Danio rerio: one gene and its partners. The protein of the gene in region 1 purifies or fractionates together with the protein of each later gene. This does not show direct contact. Links are inferred from orthologs where the notes say so. Each region holds a gene or a part of one and is shown in the gene's direction. Other genes may lie near its edges. The genes, in order: zgc:171971, polr3b, uri1, polr3glb, si:ch211-140b10.6 and polr2f.

The links.
Region 2: the proteins of zgc:171971 (region 1) and polr3b purify together in Homo sapiens (affinity purification with mass spectrometry; 8 studies listed by BioGRID and IntAct, counting the BioPlex papers as one, with this or other methods). This does not show direct contact. The link is inferred for Danio rerio from reciprocal best matches to the Homo sapiens genes POLR3D and POLR3B.
Region 3: the proteins of zgc:171971 (region 1) and uri1 purify together in Homo sapiens (affinity purification with mass spectrometry; 3 studies listed by BioGRID and IntAct, with this or other methods). This does not show direct contact. The link is inferred for Danio rerio from reciprocal best matches to the Homo sapiens genes POLR3D and URI1.
Region 4: the proteins of zgc:171971 (region 1) and polr3glb purify together in Homo sapiens (co-immunoprecipitation; 4 studies listed by BioGRID and IntAct, counting the BioPlex papers as one, with this or other methods). This does not show direct contact. The link is inferred for Danio rerio from reciprocal best matches to the Homo sapiens genes POLR3D and POLR3GL.
Region 5: the proteins of zgc:171971 (region 1) and si:ch211-140b10.6 purify together in Homo sapiens (affinity purification with mass spectrometry; 6 studies listed by BioGRID and IntAct, counting the BioPlex papers as one, with this or other methods). This does not show direct contact. The link is inferred for Danio rerio from reciprocal best matches to the Homo sapiens genes POLR3D and POLR1D.
Region 6: the proteins of zgc:171971 (region 1) and polr2f purify together in Homo sapiens (affinity purification with mass spectrometry; 5 studies listed by BioGRID and IntAct, with this or other methods). This does not show direct contact. The link is inferred for Danio rerio from reciprocal best matches to the Homo sapiens genes POLR3D and POLR2F.

The regions. Positions count from the first base shown.
Region 1 is NC_133187.1:7,835,675-7,839,906, reverse strand, and holds the start of zgc:171971 (uncharacterized protein), read left to right. Parts: upstream 1-1,432; 5' UTR 1,433-1,486; coding exon of another isoform or gene 1,487-1,491; 5' UTR 1,492-1,515; intron 1,516-1,798; coding exon of another isoform or gene 1,799-1,799; coding exon 1,800-1,973; intron 1,974-4,140; coding exon 4,141-4,187; intron 4,188-4,232. UniProt on the Homo sapiens protein: DNA-dependent RNA polymerase catalyzes the transcription of DNA into RNA using the four ribonucleoside triphosphates as substrates.
Region 2 is NC_133193.1:16,764,684-16,768,183, reverse strand, and holds part of polr3b (DNA-directed RNA polymerase III subunit RPC2), read left to right. Parts: intron 1-124; coding exon 125-233; intron 234-2,967; coding exon 2,968-3,090; intron 3,091-3,500. UniProt on the Homo sapiens protein: Catalytic core component of RNA polymerase III (Pol III), a DNA-dependent RNA polymerase which synthesizes small non-coding RNAs using the four ribonucleoside triphosphates as substrates.
Region 3 is NC_133193.1:16,045,299-16,049,514, forward strand, and holds the start of uri1 (unconventional prefoldin RPB5 interactor 1), read left to right. Parts: upstream 1-1,416; 5' UTR 1,417-1,703; coding exon 1,704-1,784; exon of another isoform or gene 1,785-2,188; coding exon of another isoform or gene 2,189-2,215; intron 2,216-4,216. UniProt on the Homo sapiens protein: Involved in gene transcription regulation. Acts as a transcriptional repressor in concert with the corepressor UXT to regulate androgen receptor (AR) transcription.
Region 4 is NC_133191.1:47,264,670-47,268,906, forward strand, and holds the start of polr3glb (DNA-directed RNA polymerase III subunit RPC7-like), read left to right. Parts: upstream 1-1,437; 5' UTR 1,438-1,632; intron 1,633-1,866; 5' UTR 1,867-1,869; coding exon 1,870-1,977; intron 1,978-3,680; coding exon 3,681-3,810; intron 3,811-4,237. UniProt on the Homo sapiens protein: DNA-dependent RNA polymerase catalyzes the transcription of DNA into RNA using the four ribonucleoside triphosphates as substrates. Specific peripheric component of RNA polymerase III which synthesizes small RNAs, such as 5S rRNA and tRNAs.
Region 5 is NC_133199.1:25,556,342-25,560,487, forward strand, and holds the start of si:ch211-140b10.6 (protein POLR1D-like), read left to right. Parts: upstream 1-1,346; 5' UTR 1,347-1,433; coding exon 1,434-1,456; intron 1,457-1,749; coding exon 1,750-1,824; intron 1,825-4,112; coding exon 4,113-4,146.
Region 6 is NC_133178.1:1,278,189-1,282,341, reverse strand, and holds the start of polr2f (DNA-directed RNA polymerases I, II, and III subunit RPABC2), read left to right. Parts: upstream 1-1,353; 5' UTR 1,354-1,376; intron 1,377-2,033; 5' UTR 2,034-2,165; coding exon 2,166-2,185; intron 2,186-2,430; coding exon 2,431-2,500; intron 2,501-3,510; coding exon 3,511-3,641; intron 3,642-4,153. Other genes in the region: uncharacterized protein, read right to left, coding at 183-242, 518-539. UniProt on the Homo sapiens protein: DNA-dependent RNA polymerase catalyzes the transcription of DNA into RNA using the four ribonucleoside triphosphates as substrates.

The DNA.
Region 1 (4,232 bases):
TTCAGCTCCTGTTACGCCATAAATATGATGTTGATAAGTCTGACTCTTAAGTAACATTTCGAGAGTTTTTTTGGGGCAATACCAGTGTATAAATTAAATTAAAAAATTTGTTTATTATTTTATAATTAATTGTGTATTATTTAAATTATTAAATAGAAATATATTTTACAAATATTGAATATATTTTACAAAAAACAAAACTATATAAATTATTTCAGAAACATTAGTTGCAAATTGCACAAATATAAACTTTAAATGTATTTACATTATTTTAATGAACAATATTTATTCATTATTGTGAAAAACTAGATATTATATTATATTATTATATCTTTTTCTAACAGGAATGATAAGCTCTCTGCTAGCAAAATATATAATATAATATAATATAATATAATATAATATAATATAATATAATATAATATAATATAATATAATATAATATAAATAGGAATAAAAAAGTGAGGGCAGCCAAAAGTTGAGTGCCGCCCTTTGTTCAATATGAGTTAGAAGAAGGGTGGATGGAAGGGGTCTGTGTCCCAAAACTTACTGAAGTGGTTACTTTTACAACAGTTTTTTATAAAATATGTTTTTATTTTTCACCTTTTCATTTTAGTTTTATTTTATACTTGTTAATGCATAATATTCAAAATAAATGTATTGTACAAATATTGAGTATATTTTACACAAAACACGAAATTTCATAGACAGTAGTTTTAAAATTCAGTCCGATAATAAACCATTTTATGACACAAAAGAGACCATATAAAAGGAATGAAATAAACTTTAAATAAATATGTTTAAAATGTTTGTGCATTAAATTAAAACTATAAATAAATATGTTTAAAATGTTTGTGCATTAAATTAAAATTTACCATTTACAATTTTAAAGAGTATTTATGAAATACAGTCCAGAGTTATTATAGTATATCATTATATAGGCCTAATACAATATGATATTTATAAAAATAGCTATAAATATATATGTAAATAGATTTGAAACAAAATGTTTATTTATTGTTCAGATAAAATAACCGTTAAAAACAAAATATTTAAAATTAGTTCATTATTATTTAATATACAGCACTTATAATTTTTTTTAAGTTAAAAGTTTATTAATATTTTATTAATTGAGAGTTTATTAACAAAACCATCATGATGACACCATAAGACTAAATGGACAAATAAAAACTTTAAATATATTTTATTTATTTTTATTAAAAAATTTGTTATTGTGATAAATATAATATAAAATGATATAATAATATAAAATAAAATATAATATAGATGATATATAAAATAATAATATGTAAATATTAAAAAATGATATATAATATAATATAATATAATATAATATAATATAATATAATATAATATAATATAATATAAAATGTCTGAGTAATCTTTTCCTAACAGAGGGCTCGTGTCACGTGACCAATGATGCTCCTGCAAGGATGTAGCTGTCAGCTGGAAGAGTTCGGCAGATATGATGTGAGCAGTTTACACAAATTTCAAGTACGTATAGTATTTATTTTCACTTATCTCTAATGCAGCCGTGCGCAGCATTTTTAAATATGTCCGTCTAAATGTCATAAAGTGCTATGAAAGGCTTTGTTTTGATAGCATAGGTTGCTAACAAAATGGAGGCGCGCGCGTCTTGAAATCCAAGTCAGCGCACATTTAGTGTATTTTGAACGAGCGTTTCTCTTGGAAAATTAAGGTTTTCACCTTTGTTTGAGTCTGAGTAATCACATATTGCACGCTGCTCAGTAGGGTTTGTTGTTTGTGTGTTTGGCAGGATGTGTGATCATGGAGATGGGGACGCGGAGGCGAGCTCATCTTCCACTTTCAGACCGTCTTTTGCTCTGGGCAACGTTAAAGGACTGCCAGGGAGAATTTCACACAATCCTCCTCCACCAGGCAGACTGACCTCCCTGCGGTCCAGAGACCTGACCCTGGGAGGATTTAAAAAGGTTACTCATTCTAATACCTTTTTAATGCTGTTTTTAATCTTTAACAAAGACAAAAGATTGGTTTAAAGGGATAGTTCACGCAAAAAAATAAAAATTCTGTCATCATTTACTTACTCTTTCCTTGTTTCAAACCTTTAACGTTATTCGTTTCTGTCTTGTGTTGAATTTATTGAATTACTTGTTTGTGTTTTGGATGTTTATTGTTTTGTCCATGTTTGGGCTCTTGCCCTCAGCTGCAGTCATCACAAGACAAATTTCCCTAACTGGGACAATAAAGTTTTACCTTACCTTACCTTAAACACAAAATAAATAATTATGAAAAATGCTGGAAACCTGTAACTATTATTGAGATTTTAAATTTGGTTTTGTATTCGCTCGTTCATTCAGAACTTGTGATATGATCATTAGGCATGGGCCGATACAAGATTCTGACGGGATGATAACCTTGGATAAAAAATATCACGGTTTCACAGTATTGTGATTACTTCTCTAAAATATATTCTTTTTAAATCTCTGGGTAAAAAACAAACTTTTTTTCCACTTTAAATACAAAAAATTTACTTTGAGAAACATTTTAAATATTTTCCAACAGTAAACATGTCAGGCTACAGTAAATAATTAAAACAAGTCTTTGACTTCTGCTGTCTTCATTAGTTTCAAAAACTCAAATTTCTTTACAATTTAAAGTAGCACCTTTAGATATGTTTTTGTTGTCGGAGATTTGTCCTAAAAAAAAACAAAACAAAAAAAAATAAAAAAAAAACGAGATAAAATAAATAATAATTAAAATATAAATAAAAAAAACAAACAAATACATACCTTAGGAAACGGTATAGCAAAAGATTTCGGCAGTTTTAAAACCTTGATTTTTCCAAACCGCAGTACACCTCGAAAACGGTTATTGTCCCATGCCTAATGCTCACTATATCGTTTACGGTAACTTGGTTAAGTTAGTTTTATATTCACACATTCATGCTTTCTCCTTAATAATATAACTAGAGAAAAGTATTGTTTGCAAATTCTAAATAATGAATTAATATTAGCAGCCAACAACTGTCAAAGGGAAACATTAACAACTAAAGTCAGTTAAATAGTGCCAATGTTGTTTTGAAGACATCCTTACATGCTATTTCAGACTGAATAGTCAAAGTAGCTTGTTGAACAATACAGGGAGCGTGTCACAAGTTGTCGCTGTTAAAAACTGAACAATCGTGCGAATACAAAATCAACTTTACCTTAGTATTGTTTACCATAGTACTTTATCAGGAATATTAGGACTGAAATCACATGTAACTTCAAAACAACATTAGCACTATTTATTTGGCTGTGGACAATGTTGTATAATTGTGATACAACATTAATAAAACAATAATACTTGTTTGAAATTATATTATTAAGGAGAAAGTCAGAATGTGCGAAAATAAAACTAACTTTACCACATTGTAACCAGTGATTTTCTTAGTATTTGTTTTTCCTACTATGGTGGTCAATGGTTACAGGTTTTCAACATATTCAAAATATCAAATTTTGTTTAATTGAAGAAAGAAATGTATAATGGTTTGTGGGTGAGTTCATTATTACATTTAAAATATTCAGTGAACTATTCCTTTAACTTATGTTACTTGCATTGTGCTTTTTTACAATAAAAACATGGTTTCAAACCTGCTTTGGAGAAAATTATGAAGAAAATGTAAATGTGCAGCGCATTTTTTTAAAACCATAACCATTAGGATATATTTGTATAATACAATTTAACATGATCACATAACATGATAACATGATCTATCTATCTATCTATCTATCTAATAAATGCAGGTTAAATTTACATGAATGCACCTGTTACTTTAAATTACACTAGAATAATATTATTTTACCCATATTCTTGACATTTTACTTTCTCTAAAGTCTGAGACATCAAATTATAGACACTTCATTACATTGAATATTCTTTTTAATATTAAATTAAATTAAATTTTTTGTAAATTGTTTTTAATGCAGACATCAAATTAGGTCATCATGTCAATGCCTCATACTATGTTTATACTTGTCAGTTTATTAGAATTTTAGTCTAATTACTATCTGGTCATGTGTAATAAATATGAGTGTTACTTTAATAATGAACCAAGCAATTATTAATTGACTCGCTGTGTTTTTATTTCCCTTGCAGAAAACCTTTGTTCCAAATGTTCACTCCGTTCGCAAAAGTAAAGATGAGTAAGTATTTTTAAAGATCTCATTCTATTGCTTTGTTTGGTATTT
Region 2 (3,500 bases), on another chromosome or scaffold:
CTTTACGGTAAGCTCTTGTAAGTAAATAATGTCATCATTTTGGTTAGGGTTTTCATTTATGTGAAATCAATTTAATCTTTGATTTTGTTTTGTACTCATCTCTCTTATTTTGTCTGGTTTGTAGTTCTACTCATGAGAAAAAGAGCAGAACCAACATGATTGTGAAACAGGGCCGCTTTTACCTGAAGCACAACACTCTCTCTGAAGACGCACCCATCGCTATCATCTTTAAGGTGGGCATTTGTCTGAAGATGTTGGTTTAAAGCAGGATTGTTTTGTGTCTTTGTCGGCTAAATTGAATTAGCAAGATATAATATGCATTTGTCTTTATACAGTCCAGTATTTAGCTCTCAGGAGACATGCTGCTAACAACCAATAGATGGCGCTGTTTGACAAAAAACGGTTCTGAACACCAAGTACAGCAATTTAAATGTATTTTTAGGAGGTTATAATAATACAAAGTATATCTGTTGTAAGTAAAATCAGATTTTTAAACCGTACATATGTACGTATGTAATGTACGTATGTTACAGTAGCAAAGAACAATGAAAAACAGTATCACAGTTTCCACAAAAATATTGTGTTTTTGTTTCTAGCCTTGATAACATGTTTACATGAAGCAGTAATTTAAAATATTAGAATGATTTTCAGCTTTGCAGTCACATGAATACATTTATTATTTATAATACATTTACATATTTAATTCATAATTAATTGTTACTGTGTTTACTGAATTTTTATTGAATTTAGTCTTTGAAAGCATTAAAAACCTTTTAAAAACATCATACTCACCCTATTTTATTCACTCAAAAATTTTAATTTGCTCATCTTTTACTTGCCATCAAGAGTTTTCAAACCTTTGAGTTTTTTTTCTGTTTTTTGAAACTGAGTGTTATTGAAATACATAGTAGATAATAAAATAAAAACATAGAGATCAATGGCTGCAGGTTTTCAACATTCTTCAAAATATCAGTTTTTGTGTTTAACAAAAGAAAATCAAATGAAATGCTAAATGATTTTTTGGGGAACCCTTCTTTTTAATGTTACTATAACTTTCTATTATGATATTGTGCTATATGCACAAAGACTTTTAATTTTTGGCCATGCAGCCCAAGGGCTTCCCATGAGCTGTCTTTTTATTACAAAATTGTCACGTTTAAGATCTGATTTCTTTAATTATCAGCGATCTTCACTGCCTGTTAGATATACTGTACAATATAAAGTGGGTCTCAGATTGGACAAGAAGCACTGCATTAAATTCCATTTCCTCCCGCCATGTCTTTAAGATATGACAGTTTATTTTAACTTGAATTACATAACAACATCAGTGCTGTAATAACAACCTTGTGAAATTGAAGTCACATTAAGATTTCACCTGAAGTTTATCGTTAGCTTTAAAGCTCTAGCTGTGCATAAAGCCCATTAATCATTTCTCATGCATTCATTACATACATTTGCCATCCAAAAAAAAAATCTTTCCTCAAATATTATGTAGTATTTATATTGTTTGCATCCTTTCAGTGCATTTTAGCTGGCAGTTCTCCATCTTAAATGTCATGTGTCAGTTGAAACGGATATATAATTAGAGCTCAGATCAGTGGACTGGTGATGGATGTTAGTCGTAATTCCCTTAGCCCAGACTCTCTAAACATATGGGTCTGGTCGGTTGGGGATGGGGTGTGGAGTAAATCGGCAGTCAAGCTTGTTTGCTTTGCACTTGTCTGTCCACAGCACATTCCAGCAGGATTTCCTTGCAACACAGCAGCCGAGCCAAACGGTGGAGACCTTTAAGCACTCTGATCCACCCAGTCCTGTTCCCACAGTCCCACATTAGCATAAATAAATGTCATCGAGACCTGTGCCATCACATTCACCTTTGCCTTAAAGCAGAGTCCTACACTTGTTTATTTATGTTAGTGTGTGTCTGTATAGATTATGAAGCTTGGGATCTTTGACATGCATGTGTTTTTTATGGTTACATTTGTTTGCTGTGTCTGTGTTACCGTGTAATTATACATTAAGTACTGAATGATGTTGCTATGTGGTTAGATGGGTAGTTCACACAGAAATGAAAACTGTCATTATTTACCCACTTGTCACTTGTTACAAACCTGTGCGAGTTGAATATAAAAGAAGATAATTCGATGAAAGCTGTAAACCTGTAACCATTGGCATCAAAGTATGTTATTGACATCTAAATGGTTACTTGTCTATCTATTTCTATATCTTATAAAAAGGAAAAAAACGTCAACAAGTGGATATTTAAAAAAATTATTATGGTTTCATATTGATTGCTTTTTAATAGGCTTCTTCACACAGTGAATGTTTTCGGACTCTAAAGACACTTTTTTGACAGGTTTGGGACATGTTTGGTTAAAAGAATAGTTATTATATCATTGTAAAGAATAAATGTTGCACAACCCTTCTGGCTGCTACACTTAACACAGCCCAAACTCTCACTATTGGTCAGAGAGGAATGTGATTGATGGATTTGGGCCGGTAAAGGTTTCTGGCGGTATGATAACCCTTGATAAAAAAAATATCACGGTATTGTGATTACTACTATAAAATAATTTAAAAAAAAAATCTTTGTATAGCAACAACTTTTTCCCCAATTGAACACAATATATTTTATTTTAGGAAACATTTATAATGTTTTGGAACAGTAAACATGTCAAGCTACTTGATTAAAATAAATAAATAACATCTGCTATGTTTATTAGTTTCAAAAACACAGATTTCTTTCCAAGACATAAAAAACACTGAAAAAAAAACCCTTACATATACCATAGGAATTCTATGACAAACCTTTTCCAAATCACAGTAAACCTTGAAACTGGTTATCGTCCCATGCCTAATCTGGTTTGATCACTTTCAGTTTTAGTGATTGGGTCTGTTTAGGCATTAAAAATATTGAATAATTGAGCTTTAAGTACCATCTCTACTCATTTCTTTGTCTTTCGTCAGGCTATGGGAGTGGAGAGTGATCAGGAGATCGTTCAAATGATTGGCACAGAAGAACATGTAATGGCTGCTTTTGCTCCCAGTTTGGAGGAGTGTCAGAAGGCTCAAATATTCACCCAAACTCAGGTACCCCAGACAGAAACTGCTTTGCATTGCTTGTAAATGCATAATACATAAAACAATTGTTCCAGCTTGAATGACACTAGAAGTATTTTCAAAGTCATTTGCCTAGATCATCACCATATAGCAGAAATAATCTGGTTGTCCAACTTTTTAGGTTTTTTTCCCCATTTTTGAGGTGTATTATCAAATGCTGGATCTGAGATTTATTATTCATCACAAAGACACATCAATGGGTCAGCAAGGACCACATCTGCATCCTAGCAACCAGTGTCTGAGCGGATGTGAATGCCTGTGTGCGTGGATGTGACATTGTGCGGGCCTCATCAAAGGTCCACTAATGAGCCCACACGTGTGCACCAATTGACCAGAGCAGCCCTCAATTAGATAAGATGTGTTATTAGCACTGAGAATCG
Region 3 (4,216 bases), on another chromosome or scaffold:
CTTAATAAAAAATTACTTGAATCCAAAAAAATACATCCCTAAAAAAGTACAAAATATTCTCGGAAGGTGTTGAAGAACAAATCCCTTGAATCATAAGTGTAGTACTTAACACGCCATTGGCATATTAGACATTGGCATACTGCACAAGTGCAGTAAAGACAGAGTTTACTTGTTTTGTTAACTGGAACTTAAACTGTAGTTAAACTTTATTGTACTGCATTTGAGCTGTGTTTATACTTCATTTTTATAGCAATTGTACTTAATTCATATGCAATTATACTTCTATTTACTGCTGTTGTACTGCAGTTTTACTTCAGTTTACTGCTCTCGTTTACTGCAGTTATTTTTGTAAGGGCAAACAACAACAACAATCCAGGGGTTTTCAGTCATCTAGTCCAAGATAAGTGCCAAATCCTGCAATAAAGTCCTTGTTCTTATTGCTTTTAAGTTTGTTGATCCCTCAATAGACTCAAAATACATTTTCATTTCAATTTTACATTAAGAAAGAAAATCCTAACCCTAAACAAAATACACTTACAAAATTTGTTTTTGTGAATATGAAATTTGCCCAACAAAAAAATCAGGTTATGAAATAAGTATTACTTTCCTTTTGACTTTTACAGAAACCAAAAAAAAAAAAAAATTCTTATAAGTAAATGCAAAATGTGCCAGCACATAATCTTTTATAAAATCAAGAATATCACATCAAAATGTCACTGAATGAGGCCAATTCCAAAATAAATGAACAGAAGTTTTAGGAATCTCTAAGCAAAATGGACAGTTGATGTTAATATTATTCATAAGCCTTTTTAGATCCAAATGGTTTGGATAGCATCTATTAATCAGTTTAAATGTAACTTCTCTTATTTTATTTATTTATTTATTTTAAATGTGGGGTAATGAGCAAACTTTCTTACATGAAATTGTACCAAAGAGCTTAGAATGATCATGAATGGTCATTCTAAGCTCCTTGAATTGTACAGAAGCCTTTTGTTTTTGTCGAATCATAAATTGTACGACTTCCTGTTTCGTAACGTCACGTGACGTTGGCGTGAGGATTGTTTACATCCTCTCATCATCAACCCATGTTTTCATTTAAACATATAAAGTGAACAGAACAAAAGCGCTTAGACAGTACCTACATTTACTGTTATCAAAATATGTATATATACACGTGTCCCAACAAGCGACCACTTTCGTTTGCCAATTTTAAAGAGTGGCGTTAATACTAAAAGTTGTTTATTTAATTTCATTTCAGCATGTAATCATTTAAGTCCACGAATAACTCAATAAATTTATTGCAGCTAAGCATTTAAAGTCGAAAATTATAAATGAAAGTGAAATTAAATAGCAAAAGTGGGAGATCACGTGCTTGCGTCGTAGAAGGAGAGCGATATCCAGAGCACGTACTACATCCGTGATTAGATGAACATGGCGCAGGGGAAGCAGGCCGTCGGTGGACTGTAAACAAGAGGAAATTTCGGGATTAGATTGACATCGTACCATGCACGTGTGAAATGGTCTCAATCTCGATATACTGGACGACTCGTTCTGCTTCATTGATGACTACGAGGCGACAAATTGAGTGCAACGCATCACATTGCATTCATAAACATTTCTATAGGACTTCAAACCCCTGAGCATTCATTGTTTTGGATATTTAATCACACAAAAACCTTGCTTGATTGTGGATGCACGAGCAAATGGCTGCAGTTGGGAAAGTCAAACGGAGTACGAGAGATTTGCCTCGAGGCGTGGAGAGGTTGAAAGATGAGCACAGGAAGGTCAGGAGTAATGTTTATTTCCATAACAACAATGCATTCCTGCAGATATTATTGTTGATGTTCATAAACGTGATTTGTCATCAGCGTTTGAAAGATTTGTCGTCGATTTTAATGTCGTTTATTTTGTATATTTGCAGCGTTGCCCGTTTCATTCTCTGGAAAGTTCTCTCTGTATCACGTGTTGCCGTTGGTTTTCTTTTTGCAGTTACTGCATTTTTGTTTGCATGTGTTTTTAATACTTTGCTGTAAAATCCACGTGTATGTGTTTACATGAAGCTTATCTTGATGTTAGTAGAAAACTTTACATGTGACGTTAACTCCAATTTAATCAACCACATGGCACATGCCCACGTTGCCTTAATGTATAGAGCAAGTAAAAGCTTAAAGTACTTTTAGAGTAGGCAATGAAATGGAAACGACTCCCTGTGAAGGTAAGGTTTAATTGACCCATTTCTATGTGCATGGAGTGAAAAGAATAGGTGAATGTCATACACACAATGTCTTTGACCCCATTTGTTCACAGTTGAAGATAAACACCCAGTTGGCTGGATTTGAAAATTACGTTTGACCTGCTTTCTTTACAGCAAAGATGTGTTTTAAAAAAAAACTGTTTTAGAATCCCTGAGCAACAAAATAATAATTATAGCTTTGTCTATTACATTTATTATTATGGCCACATTTAGCTTAAGACACCCATAAAAAATATTTTACCATAACAGAAGTTTATACCAAGTAGAATATACTGTATATTGGCAGGTATATTTAGAACATGTATCATTTGATGACATTAAAATACTCCTAGTCCTAAGCATTACAGTGCAACCCCAAAACACAAAGTATTTGTAACTTTTAATCCATATTCTCTGCCAGTATCATTCTATCATTCATTTACTACTTTGTCATAAATTTAGTTTCTTTATATTACAAAAGTTTGTTTTATAATTGTGTGTGTCTAATATATATATATATATATATATATATATATATATATATATATATATATATATATATATATATATATAATCTCGTCACCTTAGAATTATAAAGTTCTATTTGACATTACCTAGTATTCGGAATGCTTTTATGGCCATTTAAAATGTCAAAAGTTACCTAAAAGCGAACCGTACCTCTTTTTTGGTACCCTTTGGCCTTAGTGTCCCACCAGTGACGATATACAGCCATATCACACTGCCACGAGTTCAACAGTTCAGTGGCATAAGACTACCGGAGTCTCTCAAAAACACTTTTGTATGAGGAACTACCTTCTTCTGGCAATTATTCACATCTGCACCTGACATCAGAACAGCAGAAACCTGTGCTAATTCACTAACGTCACTTTAGAGCTAGTATTTAAAGGATTCTCTAGCGTAATGTCTAAAGTGATGACAAAACAGGTCATTTTGCTCACATTTTAAGATTATAAGGATGAACGGCATGAAATGCCATCAATGTTTAGAGATTTCCCAGTATTTCTCTGTTGCGATTGGGGGATCACAATAATTAACCCCGAAAAAACCAAAGCAACGCAAATGCAACCAGATTACTATGGTATAAATACAGCACTACAACATACAAAAGAGAAACATCAACTTAGTGACACTTATTTATAATGATTTGATCAGCTGTAATTTGATTTTTTTTATTTTTATTTTTGCTGAATTTTTCCTCCCCTAAGCACTTATCGAGGTTTTTGTCGCCATTCTGTAGCAAAACGTCAACCGTCTATGCTTTGCTCAGTGACAGGCTAACGGTCTCTCAGAAATTATAAATATTCTAAAATTGCCACTATCCTTATAAATAAACTGCAAAGTTGCAATCTAAACAACTACATTCTCACCTCAAAAGTACATTATGTTGTCCAAAACCCTTATATTTGTCAATCTGTAGTAAGTTTTTTCATCTGCTGTCACTCTATGTGGGCGGAATAATACAGAAGAGTATGAAGGCTGTACAAGTGCTGATATAGCAGAATATCGTACAGCCAAACAAAACGTGTGTGTTTGTGTGTTTATTTAAATTTTTTTGACATCATCTTGTCATTTACCTGTAGAATCTGTAAAGATCTTGCATATTCCACACCAGTATTTACATTGGAAGTTATAATTAACCTACTATCATCACATTATTTTAGTAGTTTAGCACATAATTAACCTTGAAACTGTCATTGTTTTGCCAGTCACTCTGAAATAACCTCATTCCTTTTATGGAAATTGAAAAAAAAACATTCAATAGCAAAAAAAAAAAAAAATGTAACATTTACTCTGATTTTATTGAGAAATGACATGAATGGGAATAATATGTAAAGGCTTGTCCCACTTTTCACAAGGAACTTTCAGGACTGTCATTCTCTGTGATGGCCAATTCACGCTACTAAAACATTACTGATAATTTAGCAGTGGTTGTTAATTGTTGTCTGTGGTATTTTTAATATT
Region 4 (4,237 bases), on another chromosome or scaffold:
CTAAGCATAATAGTTTTTTAATAAACATTAACTCATTTCTAATAAGTGATTTATTTTATCTTTGCCATGATGACAGTATATAATATTTGACTAGATATTTTTCAAGACACTTCTATACAGCTTAAAGTGACATTTAAAGGCATAACTAGGTTAATTAGTTTAACTAGGCAGGTTAGGGTAATAAGGCAAGTTATTGTATAACAGTGGTTTGTTCTGTAATCCAAGGGTTCCCAAACTTTTCAGCCCATGACACCCAAAACGACAATGCCAGTGACTCGCGACTCCCAACATCCTCTGAGGTGGTTATAAGTACAGAAACCCATGTCTATTCTTTGTGGAATTAATGTATGTCAGTGCTGTTAATGTGCCAGAAAGTTTAACCTGGTGTTATAAAATCAGTCTGTTACATCTGACGCTATTGCTGTCTTTAACATAATGTAATTACCCCAGGGGTCGCAATCCAATAGAACTAGTAACTAGAAGCTACTATAGTAACTCAATACAGCAGTATATAGTGTATAAAGATGTTAAAATGTTAAATCACTATAAAGATGATTTAGATTTTTCTCTTCAGTAGGTTATGGATAAAATATGGTAATTCTTATGGTTTAATAAAAATAACTCGATTTTTGGAAATAACTAGGCGACCCCCCCCCCCTTCATTGTCGCGCGTCCCCCACTTTGAGAACCCCTGTAGACTATCAAAAAAAAAAAAAAAAAAAAAGCTTAAAAGGGCTAATAATTTTGACCCTAAAAATTTTCATTGAAAAATTCAAAACTGCTTTTATTTTAGCCAAAATAAAACAATTAAGTCTTTCTCCAGAAGAAAAAATATTATCAGACATACTGTGAAAATTTCCTTGCCCTGTTAAACATCATTTGGGAAATATTTTAAAAAGAAAAAAGAATTCTAAGGGGGGCTAATAACAATACCTCAACTGTAAACACACACACACACACACACACACGCATGCACGCGCACACACACGCACTGTGTCTGTGAGTATTATACAATAAAGCCATGAATTACAGAAATATCTATACTGTATGTACACGGACAAATATGTTTCACATATGTAATAAAGTGTTGTAACTTAGTTATAGGCTACATAAACAGTAGTTTTAATAAATAATAGCCAACATTTAAAACAGATCAAAAATGTTTATCAAAATTTGTCCTAAGTTAAAAATGTGTGTTGTTGAATAGTTTTGGAACAACTTTGATAAAGGTTTTGATCCACTTCAAATGTTGACTACAGTATAATAATCTTTAGCATGTGCATCAGCATCTCTGTGAGCAATATGCAAAACATGTAATGAATCCTTACATATTTTGTAATGATTTGTTTGTTTAGCATGATTCACTTTGAGTAGCACTGGTTAACGTTAACTGACGCGAAACGCGGAACCATAAAAGACCGCGCTCATGTTTCTGGCAGGAGTGTTTTCAGAAGCGGGCAAAAACAAACGGGCAGATGTTTGGCGGGTGATTTTATTGCTCAATTTTACATCAATAAAACCTGAAATTACATTAAAAACAACCACGTTTACTGACGGATTAACCAATAAAACCTTTGCACAATGAAACGAAGTTGAAAATAAAGAGGGATTTCGCCGCATTGAGTGAAAGAGGTGTGTTTATATGCTACAGTTCGGTCAAAACAAATAAAACGTTACATTGAAAATAAAACATTTACCAAAAGTACATTTATGTAAAAATAAATATTTTAACATGTTTGGCCTAAATGTGTCTTTTCTAGCCGAATTTAGTTGTTTGATAATGAGTAAACTTATACTGTGAATAACGGATAAACGAGTTAAATAAAGAGGATGTATGATTAATAAATGTGAAATATTTTGTCTCAGATGATGGCAGGAAGGGGCAGAGGGCAGCTCACTTTCTCTGTGGAGATAGTTGGGATCGGTAAAGGTGAAAATCTCCCTCCGTCCTGCATCCAGCCGACACCTCTGTTCCCCGTGAGTCTTCAAGACACAACAATAAAGCCTCGTTTATAAACTGTTATACGCTTGTTATACACTGCTATTATCAAGATATGAGTCAGATTCTGCATTTCATGAGCATAAACGCAGTGCTTTAATAGTTTAATGTGGATGGCGTCACGAGCTACACAGAAATTGCATTGAAAAAACGGTCCTGTTCAACATTCAGCAAACATTACATTTTAAAAGTGTCTAATATCACAACAACATATTTGTTTAAATATTTGTTTTAGAATTCAAATTGTTTTATTGTTGAACACATCATCACAGTATTCCACCTTATTTACCTTAACAGTTACATAATAAGCCACTTACACTCACCGGCCACTTTATTAGGTACACCTTACTAGTTTTGGGTTGGACCACTTTTGTCTTCAGAACTGCCTTAATCATTCGTGGCATAGATTCAAAAAGATACTGGAAATATTCCTCAGAGATTTTGGTCCATATTGACATGATATCATCAAGCAGTTTGCCCGCTAAACATCCATGATGTGAATCTCCTTTTCCACCACATCCCAAAGATGCTCTATTGGATTGTGATCTGGTGAATATTGTGGCCATTTGAGTACAGTGAACTCATTGTGATGTTAAAAAAAAAAGTCTGAGATGATTTGTGCTTTCTGACATGGCGCGTTATCCTGCTGGAAGTAAGAGTAGAAATCAGAATTATCAGCCCCCCTTTGAATTTTTTTGTTCTTTTTTATATTTTTTAAATGATGTTTAACAGGGCAAGGACATGTTCACAGTATGTCTGATAATATTGTTTCTTCTGGAAAATTAAAGCAGTTATTAATTGTTAAATACCATTTTAAGGTCAAAATTATTAGCCCCTTTAAGCAATTTTTTTTCCGATAGTCTACAAGCCATCATTATACAATAACTTGCCTAATTACCCTAACCTGCCTAGTTAACCTAATTTACCTAGTTAAGCCGTTAACTGTCACTTTAAGCTGTATAGAAGTGTCTTGAAAAATATCTAGTCAAATATTATGTGCATCATGGCAAAGATAAAATAAATCAGTTATTAGAGATGAGGTATTAAAACTATTATGTTTAGAAATGTGCTGAAAAAAATATCTTTCTGTTAAACAGAAATTGGGGAAAAAAATAAAAAAGGGGCTAATAATTCTGACTTCAACTGTATGTTTTTTTTATTTCAATTAACATTTTTATTACAGTAAAGAAAATAATTTTATTGCCATTTTAAGTGTCTGTAGATGTCTCTGCCATAAAGACAGTACATAATATTTGACTAGATATTTTTCAAAATACTAGTATTCAGCTTAAAGTGACATTTAAAGGCTTAACTACAGTAGGTTGATTGGGGTTTATTAGACAAATCATTGTATAACAATGTTTTTTTTCTGTAGCCAATCGAAGAAGAAAAATTTTCTTAATGGGGCTAATAATATTGACCTTTAAATGGATTTTATTCTAGCCGAAATAAAACAAATACGACTTTCTCCGGAAGAAAAAATGTTATCAGACATACTGTGAAAATTTTCTTGCTCTGTTGAACATTATTTAGGAAATATTTTAAAAAAGAAAAAAATCATTCTGACTTTAGCTGTATGCCCTATTAAAAGCTGATTTCTGTCTTGGCATGTGTAAATGAGTGACAGCAGGTGTTTGTGTGAGCAGCAGACAGATGTGAATGTGCTGTTTGATGTGTTCAGCCTCTGGATCAGAAGCCAGTGCCCCTGCAGGCAGGTGAGGAGGCCGAGTACATGCTGGCCCTCAAACAGGAGTTTAGGGGAGCCATGAAGACGCTCCCGTTTTACATCCGTCCAGCGGCTCCCAAGAAAGGTCAGTTCAGAGCCCAGGACTAGCTCTTTACTGACATCTTTAAAGGGCTTATATTATGCTCATTGTATCATGTCATTTTTTTTTCGAAATTACATAACATGCGATTTCTACACTTTGGCACATATGCAATCCTTTTTTTCTAATCCTGAGTCTTAATGCAATTATTGTAAATAACATTTAAAGGTGCAAATGTTTAAAGGTATGTAATTTGACACCCAGTGGTTGAACTAGGAATTACATTCCAGAATCAAAACATATGCAAGTGCAGGTTGCCAGATGACCAAGAGGAGCGAGTCTCAAGCCTAATGTAAACCGTGTTCAGTATAAAAGCAACGGCACGTGATAGAACAAATATTTTCCATATTAAAAGGAGTTTTTGTCCTAACCAACACCTCGAATTGATATGTTAGAAACGGCTTTTATTTCA
Region 5 (4,146 bases), on another chromosome or scaffold:
TTGGGAAAACAAATATAATTTTTTTCCTCTGAATGCATTTCTGTTTTTAGTGAATCTAAACTTATATTTAAATACATTTAATTTAAATAAATATCTAAAGAAAAAAAACATTAATTAAATAGTAATTATTGCTCACAAGTGACTTAGAATTAAGATATTTGATCAAGTTTTTTTTAATTATAAGCATTAAAACATAACACTATGTATTAATAAAAATTCAGACACAAACTATATCCAAGACCATTACAATAAGTGCAAAAAGCCACATCCAGAAATAATATTAAAACAAAAACATAACAAGTAAAAATATTAAATTAAATATAACTAGTAATAAAAAAAAAAGATTGGCACACAATCAGACTACAGTGAGGGATCAGTACCAGAAAAAAAAACTTCATGAAATCTAACATCAAGTCATTTTTTTGTTATTAATTTGCATTAGAAACTTTTTCAAAGTTTCCATTTCTAATAAAAATTAATAGCATTTTGGTATACACTTCGCAAACTTCTGTTTATGAATAAAATATTAACCTTGTAGCATGTAAAAATTAACAACATACCAACATACTCTAATGAGTGTGTGTGTGTGTGTGTGTGTGTGTGTGTGCGTGCGTGCGTGCGTGCGTGCGTGTGTGTGTGTGTAAAGAGCAAATACAATCTTTTAACATGTATTTGCCCAAATAACACGTCACTAACATCATACTAAAATGTAAGAGACATCACAGTTATAGAAAAGATGTGATAAGTGTGCAAGTATTGTCAACATTCATGTATTTAGATAAGATAAAAAGAGATTAATTGATTTATTTATTATTTTATTTATTATTTTTTTATTATTATTAAACAGCAGCAAATATACAATTTAAACATGACATCCAAAACTACAAATGTAACCTATAACATAAAATAAACTAAAATATAAATTACATAAGTTAAATAAATAAAAAGACTGTAAAGATATTATGTCATGTAATGCGCTTTGGGATCATGTAATGACGTAAAGAACCGTCGGAACATGTTGAACTGTTCCATTCAGAGCTGCTGTTCAAATGAACCATTTGATGAAATGACTCTGATTTTTTCACTACCGTTCGTTTGACAGGCTGCAGACGGCGCTGTTAGTCGAATATCAGTTGTGACCATCGAGATGCCTGATTAAAGTGCGATCGTAAAACCTATTATTAAGTCAAATAATAAACTAAAATAGACTGTTTAAATGTACGTACTTTTTGTTCCAAGTGCAGATAGTTTCTACATTTTTAGTTTGAATTTTACTGTCTGCTCACTTCCGCAAATTTAGTCAAAACTAAGATGGTCAAGCGGACCGGGGTCCTAAATTGGGTCCTCGAGAATAGTAAACACTAACGTTACTGGTTAGCAAGCTGGAACAAGCTATAAATTAACAGTGACTGCGGTTTAAGGTTAATTAGATCATGGAAGACAGTGAACTGGAAAGGTATGATATTTCTAAATGTCAATTTTCCCCCTTTTGACCAGTTTATTGGACTAGTTTACGATGCAGAATATGCTAACGCCCTCGGCTTCGTGCAAATTGGTCAGTAAATTTGTGTAAACCAAAACCTGAGACGAAGCACCATACTTTTGTTATATAGCAAACATTTCGGTATCCTAGAAAAGTCTATTTTGCACCGTCAGAGATTTAAACGTGCTATTTAATTTGGGGTCACGGTAATACATAAATTAACCCGTTTCTGTCGTCAAATGTCTCACTGTAAATAATTTCCCCAGAAAAGCAGTGGAGGAGCTCCTTAAAGAAGCGAACAGAGCAAAAGCCCGTGTCGAGACAATGGGTCCTGCTGGATGGTAAGTTTGGATCACTAAATTGATAAATTACAGATATTTAAAGTGACCAATTTGAAGTCTTTTTCTATTATTAGTAACCACTATTGCCCCCACTCTTTTACACACACGCGCACACACACAAGGGTGTAACTTTGGTTTTCGGATGTGAACTTAAACCTGTGTATGTATATATACAGTACTGAGTACACCCCTTAAAGATCTGTATTTTAAATTAATATGTAGTATAAAATGCTTTACAGTAATGCATTTTGCACAAACTCTTTAGATTTTAAGGTACAAAAGCCAAAACTGTGACTAATCAAATATGCTTTTCACAATAATCAATATATCGACTTATCGCACAACACATTGACATGACATCTATCATTTTTGGTGATGTAATATATATTGCCCATATATAAAAGTCAATTCTAGCAACATTTTAGCTGATGGTGCAACCTCTTTATGTTACTGTAGTATATTTTCATGCAGGTGTCTGACAACTGAAAATAGATCTGGTAGCAGATCTTGCAGCCTCTGTTACTTTTTACATTGCACTTTTTACTACTATTTATTCAGGATATGTGTTTTCACATGCTGATTCCCCTGCCTCATTATTAAAGTTAAAATGACTATAAATTAAATGAAACATCCTTAAGAATAAAATATTATGTGGTCTTTAGAAGAGTGTACTTGCATTTTGATGTTATTATATTGTCATTTTGGCATTATATAATAAGTGGCATAAAATGGTCTCAAAATGACAATATTGTTCATCATAATATATGTTGGTGCAATATATCATACAAGAAAAAATAGATATTATGACAAGCTTATAATTAAAAAAAACTATTTAAGATCACAGTGCAAAAATCAGTACACCTTAATTAATATACTGGGGGAAAATATTAAATAATATATTAATAAACGGGAAAAATACTTTTTTTTTTTTTTTTTTGCAAAAACTTGTTTGATTGTAAGTGTATTATTTTCTATCCTCGAAGGTGTTAAATGACTGAACCATATAACTGTTCTGTTTAAATAAACCAAAGATGATTGGCTGTATTCATTGGAAAATGGCTAGAAGAAATATTTATTTTTAATTGGGTGTAATCGTTTTTACTGGTGTTTTTACGGGAGAATCTTGTGGGAGTGCGGTAACAAAAGTGTCAAATGACTAATAATTGTAGAACATTTGAGCTGGCTTCAGTCCTTAGTTCTTTCATTTTCCTTTTCATTTTATTAAAATATATGTATTTAACTTGTTTGTTAATTAAATACAGTTCTGTCATTTAACCTATTATTTTTATGCAACAGTCAAGTTGCATGCTAATTTGCTCTGTGAAGGTTACGCGATTTATGTTTAAAATGTTGGTTATCGTCCTCCAAATCAAAAGATGTATGTACAGTATGTATGTATGTATAGACATTTACATTAGATGTTGCCTACGCTTTTTTCATCTATTGAAAGGAATTTGTCGATAGAGTCGCCATTTTAGTACAGGGTAGCGCTTCTTTAAAATGAATGTGGGTTCAAGGTGCAGCGGAGGACTGGCCATCCATATATACACATATACACATTTATTTACGATCGGGGGGTTTTCCATTGGTCAGTATGCAAATATTTTATGAAATTACAAAAATTATAAGTTTACATCACTTTTCTATATTGATGGATAAATGATTGCATGGGCATTCCTGGCAAAGAGTGTGTGATTGTGTGCATGGAAATGTATTATCTACCCTCCCTGTTTAATTTGATCTAATTCATGTCCTTAAACACACCCCCTCTCCTGCTTTCACTTTTCATTCCAACGGAGGGAGGGATTCGTTTGTGAATGAATCTCTGTTAAGAAGGACTTGATCACTTAGTTGACAATAATACAAGTTTTCACAGCAGCACCTTCTTGTTATATTTCATTTACATTGTTATCTCATTTTATTCAACAAAACTAGCATAAGTCTAGAATTGAGTGCCAGTTTGTAACATACAAAAACATAAAAAACGAAATCTTACCTATGAAATGTTCTGCCTTTGTGCTTGGTTTTCTTTGTTTGCTTGTTACTACACCCGTAAGCAGTGCTAAAGTCCAGCATCTTCACATTGGCTTTAGTCTTGATTAGTGCAGTTGAATGATGTCCTGGGAGCACTGTACAAATGTGGCGGCGCAATTGACGCATGCTCAGGAACCATATGCGATAGTGTATATATCTATGGAATGTATGTATGTATGTATGTATGTATGTATGTGTGTAATTAACTACTATATATGTCTCCTAAAGCTGCTTAAATTGCCGTTTTGTTTTAGGATGAAATGTCCACTGGGAAGCACAAACAAGCGC
Region 6 (4,153 bases), on another chromosome or scaffold:
ATTCATAATCATTGCTTTTGCTAATGCAAGTTTTATGCCCGCCATTGGCATAAAATAATAATCCTAAAATAATTCTGCAGAAATCTGCAGATTTTTACCAAAATTCTCTGCAGAAATAGCAAAAAAACATCCGCAGATTCCGTCTGACCCTACTTATCAGTGTTAAAAATATTAGGACTTACTTTTGGGTGCGTCTAGCTCTATGCTCTGACTTCTCTTGTGAGCAGAACCAGGAACAACAGCTATAAAACATTAAATTAAAAAACATGTTAGAAAGATCAGCACTGGAGTGTTACTACAGGACATTATTATTTTATCACAGTGAAAACGGTAAACATGTAGTGAACATTATGACAGATAATTGCTCAAACCATATAAAGCCATTTCATAGTGTATAATTCTAACATCTTTATTTTAAAAAGCCACGTCTTCATCTTTATGAGCTGTTTTCTTTTGGTTTTGTGATGGTTAGTTTTTGACTTTAGGAAATAGCCGGTTTGGATGAATAAACTCTGACCTCTGCTTTCTCTGCCGGACATGTTGATTCTCTGTTTTTTCTTCAGTCTTCAGTCCATCAACTTTCTATTTGCACCTGATGATTGTCTCTTTATCACCCTGTCATAGATTACACAGATTTTACTTAGCAAGTTATATATTGATTTGTAACTTTTTTATACTCTGTTACCAATGTTAATGTTTGTGTAGTCTATATGAACATCTACTTACACTTTTTTGCCCTGAACATATGCGGTAAACAGCGCTCTTGTATAGTGATTAAATCAAATAGGCCTATTTATAACAAAGTGAACATGTTTAATGAAAGGAGGACAACAAAGTTCAACAGCTGTAAAAGTTTTACATTTACATTTCTTTAAAACAAGCTGACACTGCACATTCAGATATAGGTTATAGAATAGGCCTAGGCTACATTCAATTTTTGTTTTTGTTATCAAACACACCTGAAAGTAAAACCAACCAAATCTAAGGCTTGATTGCAACTACACACTGAATACATCCAAAATAAACAATTTCTTCCAAACATCGCAGTTACATCTATACATTTGCATATTTTACAAATTGATTATTTAAAACAAATGTTTACCGTGTCGAAGATAGTCTTTTCCTTCTTGAAAACTGGAAAAACCTGTATTTTGGGAGGAGTTTTGTGAAGTCACAAGACACTCTTCACCTCTTTTTTCTTCTATTTCAATGGCGGGTAACACCAACGCCGTCGCTTAAAGAGGGAAGTGGGGGGGAATGATTAGTCTGTAAACCTAACCTCTAGTCCACAGTGCAGAGCTGAAGGTGGCGGTAATGCACCAAAACGCTGGATGTCAACCGCCGTAAAATTATAAGAAGAAGAAGAAGAAGAAGAACGCCGTCGCTTTGGTCATATACTAGGTGTAGGAGTGTGAACCAGATCAAGTTCGCATTCCCAAATAAGTAGACATAGTAGCCTATATTTTATAGTCTCGTTCAGTTCTGTTGTCTTTTTATCTTCATATGTTTGTCTTGTTAGACATTTAAATGTAAAAATATGTCAATTTGATGCTAGAACAGGGTAAAGTCTAGATAGGATTCAGCTGCGGATATGCACATCAATATCTGTGATAAGAACAATTAATATTTTTACAGTACTGTGACGGTTGGGGGGTATACGTAAAATACATTTTATTAAGTAATTTAATAAATAGCAAAGTACAGCTACTCTGTTTGCTGTTACGGCTAGAACAGGACAATATTAGATATGGGGATTTATTTGAAAATTTATAACCAAAAGTTTTACAGCGTTGAAACGTCTTTTTAGCATCCCGTCTTTGTTTTATAAACCATCACACATTTCCTACATTGTCTTGTTAAGAAATGTAAAGTGATTGTATTGTATAAGAAAACTGTACATGCTGGTTCTTGTTAATAAAAAAATAATAAATAAATAAAAACATTTCCTACATTGTGTCTTTTTTTACTGCTTTACGATTTGCGTGTTTGCGGAACGTCAGTGCTGTGGATCGTGTTTCTGCACGGACAGTGACGCTGCGGCAACACCGGAAAATCCTTCCACGCTTGGAGTCGCGCTGCGGTAAACTAGCTGTGAGATTCCAGACATAACATTTTTCTTAAAAAATTACCTATTAAACCGGGGTAGGAGACGCAGAACACTAATAATGTCGGATAACGAGGACAAGTGAGTTTCAAACGCGTGTGTTGCGCTCAATGTTTTACTGTTTTCGAACGTTTAAAGTGTGTGAATGTGGAAAACAACAACATGCGATCATTTCCATACTGCGACACAACATATATAACGATGAATGTGACTTACACAGACCTGACAGCTGAGTCTTATTTACCCGATATAGCGAAGACTTGATTTGTGATTTATTGTCGATGACGTGTTTGTTTATCTCAGAGTTTGTTTGTTTGTTTGTTTAGTTTTGATGACGGAGATTTCGATGATGTTGAAGATGAAGAGCCTCTGGATGATCTGGAGAATGTGGAAGATGTAAGATCACACTTTCAGAGAAATACTTGCTTATATTCTGCCTGGTAATCATTGAGAAATGGAGTATTATAGTCAAAGATTTCTCTTATTTCCACATGAGAAATACCACAGAGTTACAGTTTAATAATTTGAGCCACACTGTAGTATTTTGCTGTATATATTATAGTATTTTTCAACTGGTTATTAATGAATGCTGCAACATACTGTAATATTAACTATAGTGAACTGAGAATAACTGTAGTATACAATAGATTTCTACAACTATGGAGTATATTATACTTCAATACACTACAATTTACTGTAGTAAAAACACAAGTATTGGCTTATTTGTTTATATTACTAAAGTACAATACATTCATTCATTCTCTGTTCGGCTTAGTCTCTTTATTATTCTGCGGAATGAACCGCTAACTTATCCAGCATATGTTTTACACAGCATATGTGTATGGGAAACACCCACACAAACTCATACACTGTGGCCAGTTTAGTTGATCAATTCCCCTATAGTGCATGTGTTTGGAGGAAACCCACGCCAACATGGGAGAACATGCAAACTCCACACAGAGATGCCAACTGACCCAGCCGGGACTCGAACCAGCAACTTTCTTTCTGTGAGGCGCTTGTGCTACCCACAGCGCCACCGTGATGCCAATATAGTAGAATGATATAGTAGAATCACCACAACAGATCAAATCAAGTACTCCACTATAGTATAGTGTTTGTGTATGCGTGTTTTGTGCTTGCTCATGTGTGTGTTGTGCATGCTTTTGTGTTTGTATTTTGTCCTAGCATTTGTGTACATTATGCATATTTGTGTGGGTGTGTGCATGCTTGTGTGTTTTGAGCATGCATTTGTTTCTGTGTTGTGTATGTATATATGTGTGTGTGTGTGTGTTTTGTTTAATTGTGTGTATCGTGTATGTGTTTGTGTGTGTTTTGTGTTTATTTTTGTCCAATGTTTTGTATGTGTGTGTGTGTGTGTGTGTGTGTGTGTGTGTGTGTGTGTGTAGGAGGACCAAGAGAATGTTCAGATCCTGCCGGCAGGTGAAGGACAGCAGGCCAATCAGAAGAGAATCACCACCCAATACATGACCAAATACGAGAGAGCGCGAGTGCTGGGAACACGAGCTCTGCAGATTGCGTGAGTGACCGATCCACAATCACCACTCAACACACACACACACACTGCCAAATACACAACATTACCAAACATGGAGATGCACACTGCAATGCCTCAATCTCTGAATCATCTCGCAGCATTAATCTGAACGCTCATACTCTGTTCATGTGTCCTTTTCTCTGTCCTCTGTTTAACTGTGGATTGAAGCACTGCTTTGGTTTCGCCTAACTTGCTGATCTTGGTGTCTGATATTGTGAGGTTTTATTTTTCTGTGATAAATATTGTGATAATACAGTTTCACTAGAGAGTTTGATTGGCTCTGTTTGACTGATTTCTGTGGAGAAACAAATGCTTTTCTTACTTTGCTTTCTCTCGTTTCTAGTCCAAATATCTAAAAATTCTTAAGAAAATATTTTGTTTTCAACTTTCCATGAACTTACTTTTGAAATTTTTCCCTAAAACAATCAAAATGATCTGCCTCTTATCCGTTTGATTAGCATTCATTTCAAGAGGAGCATTAAAGTGCAAAACCC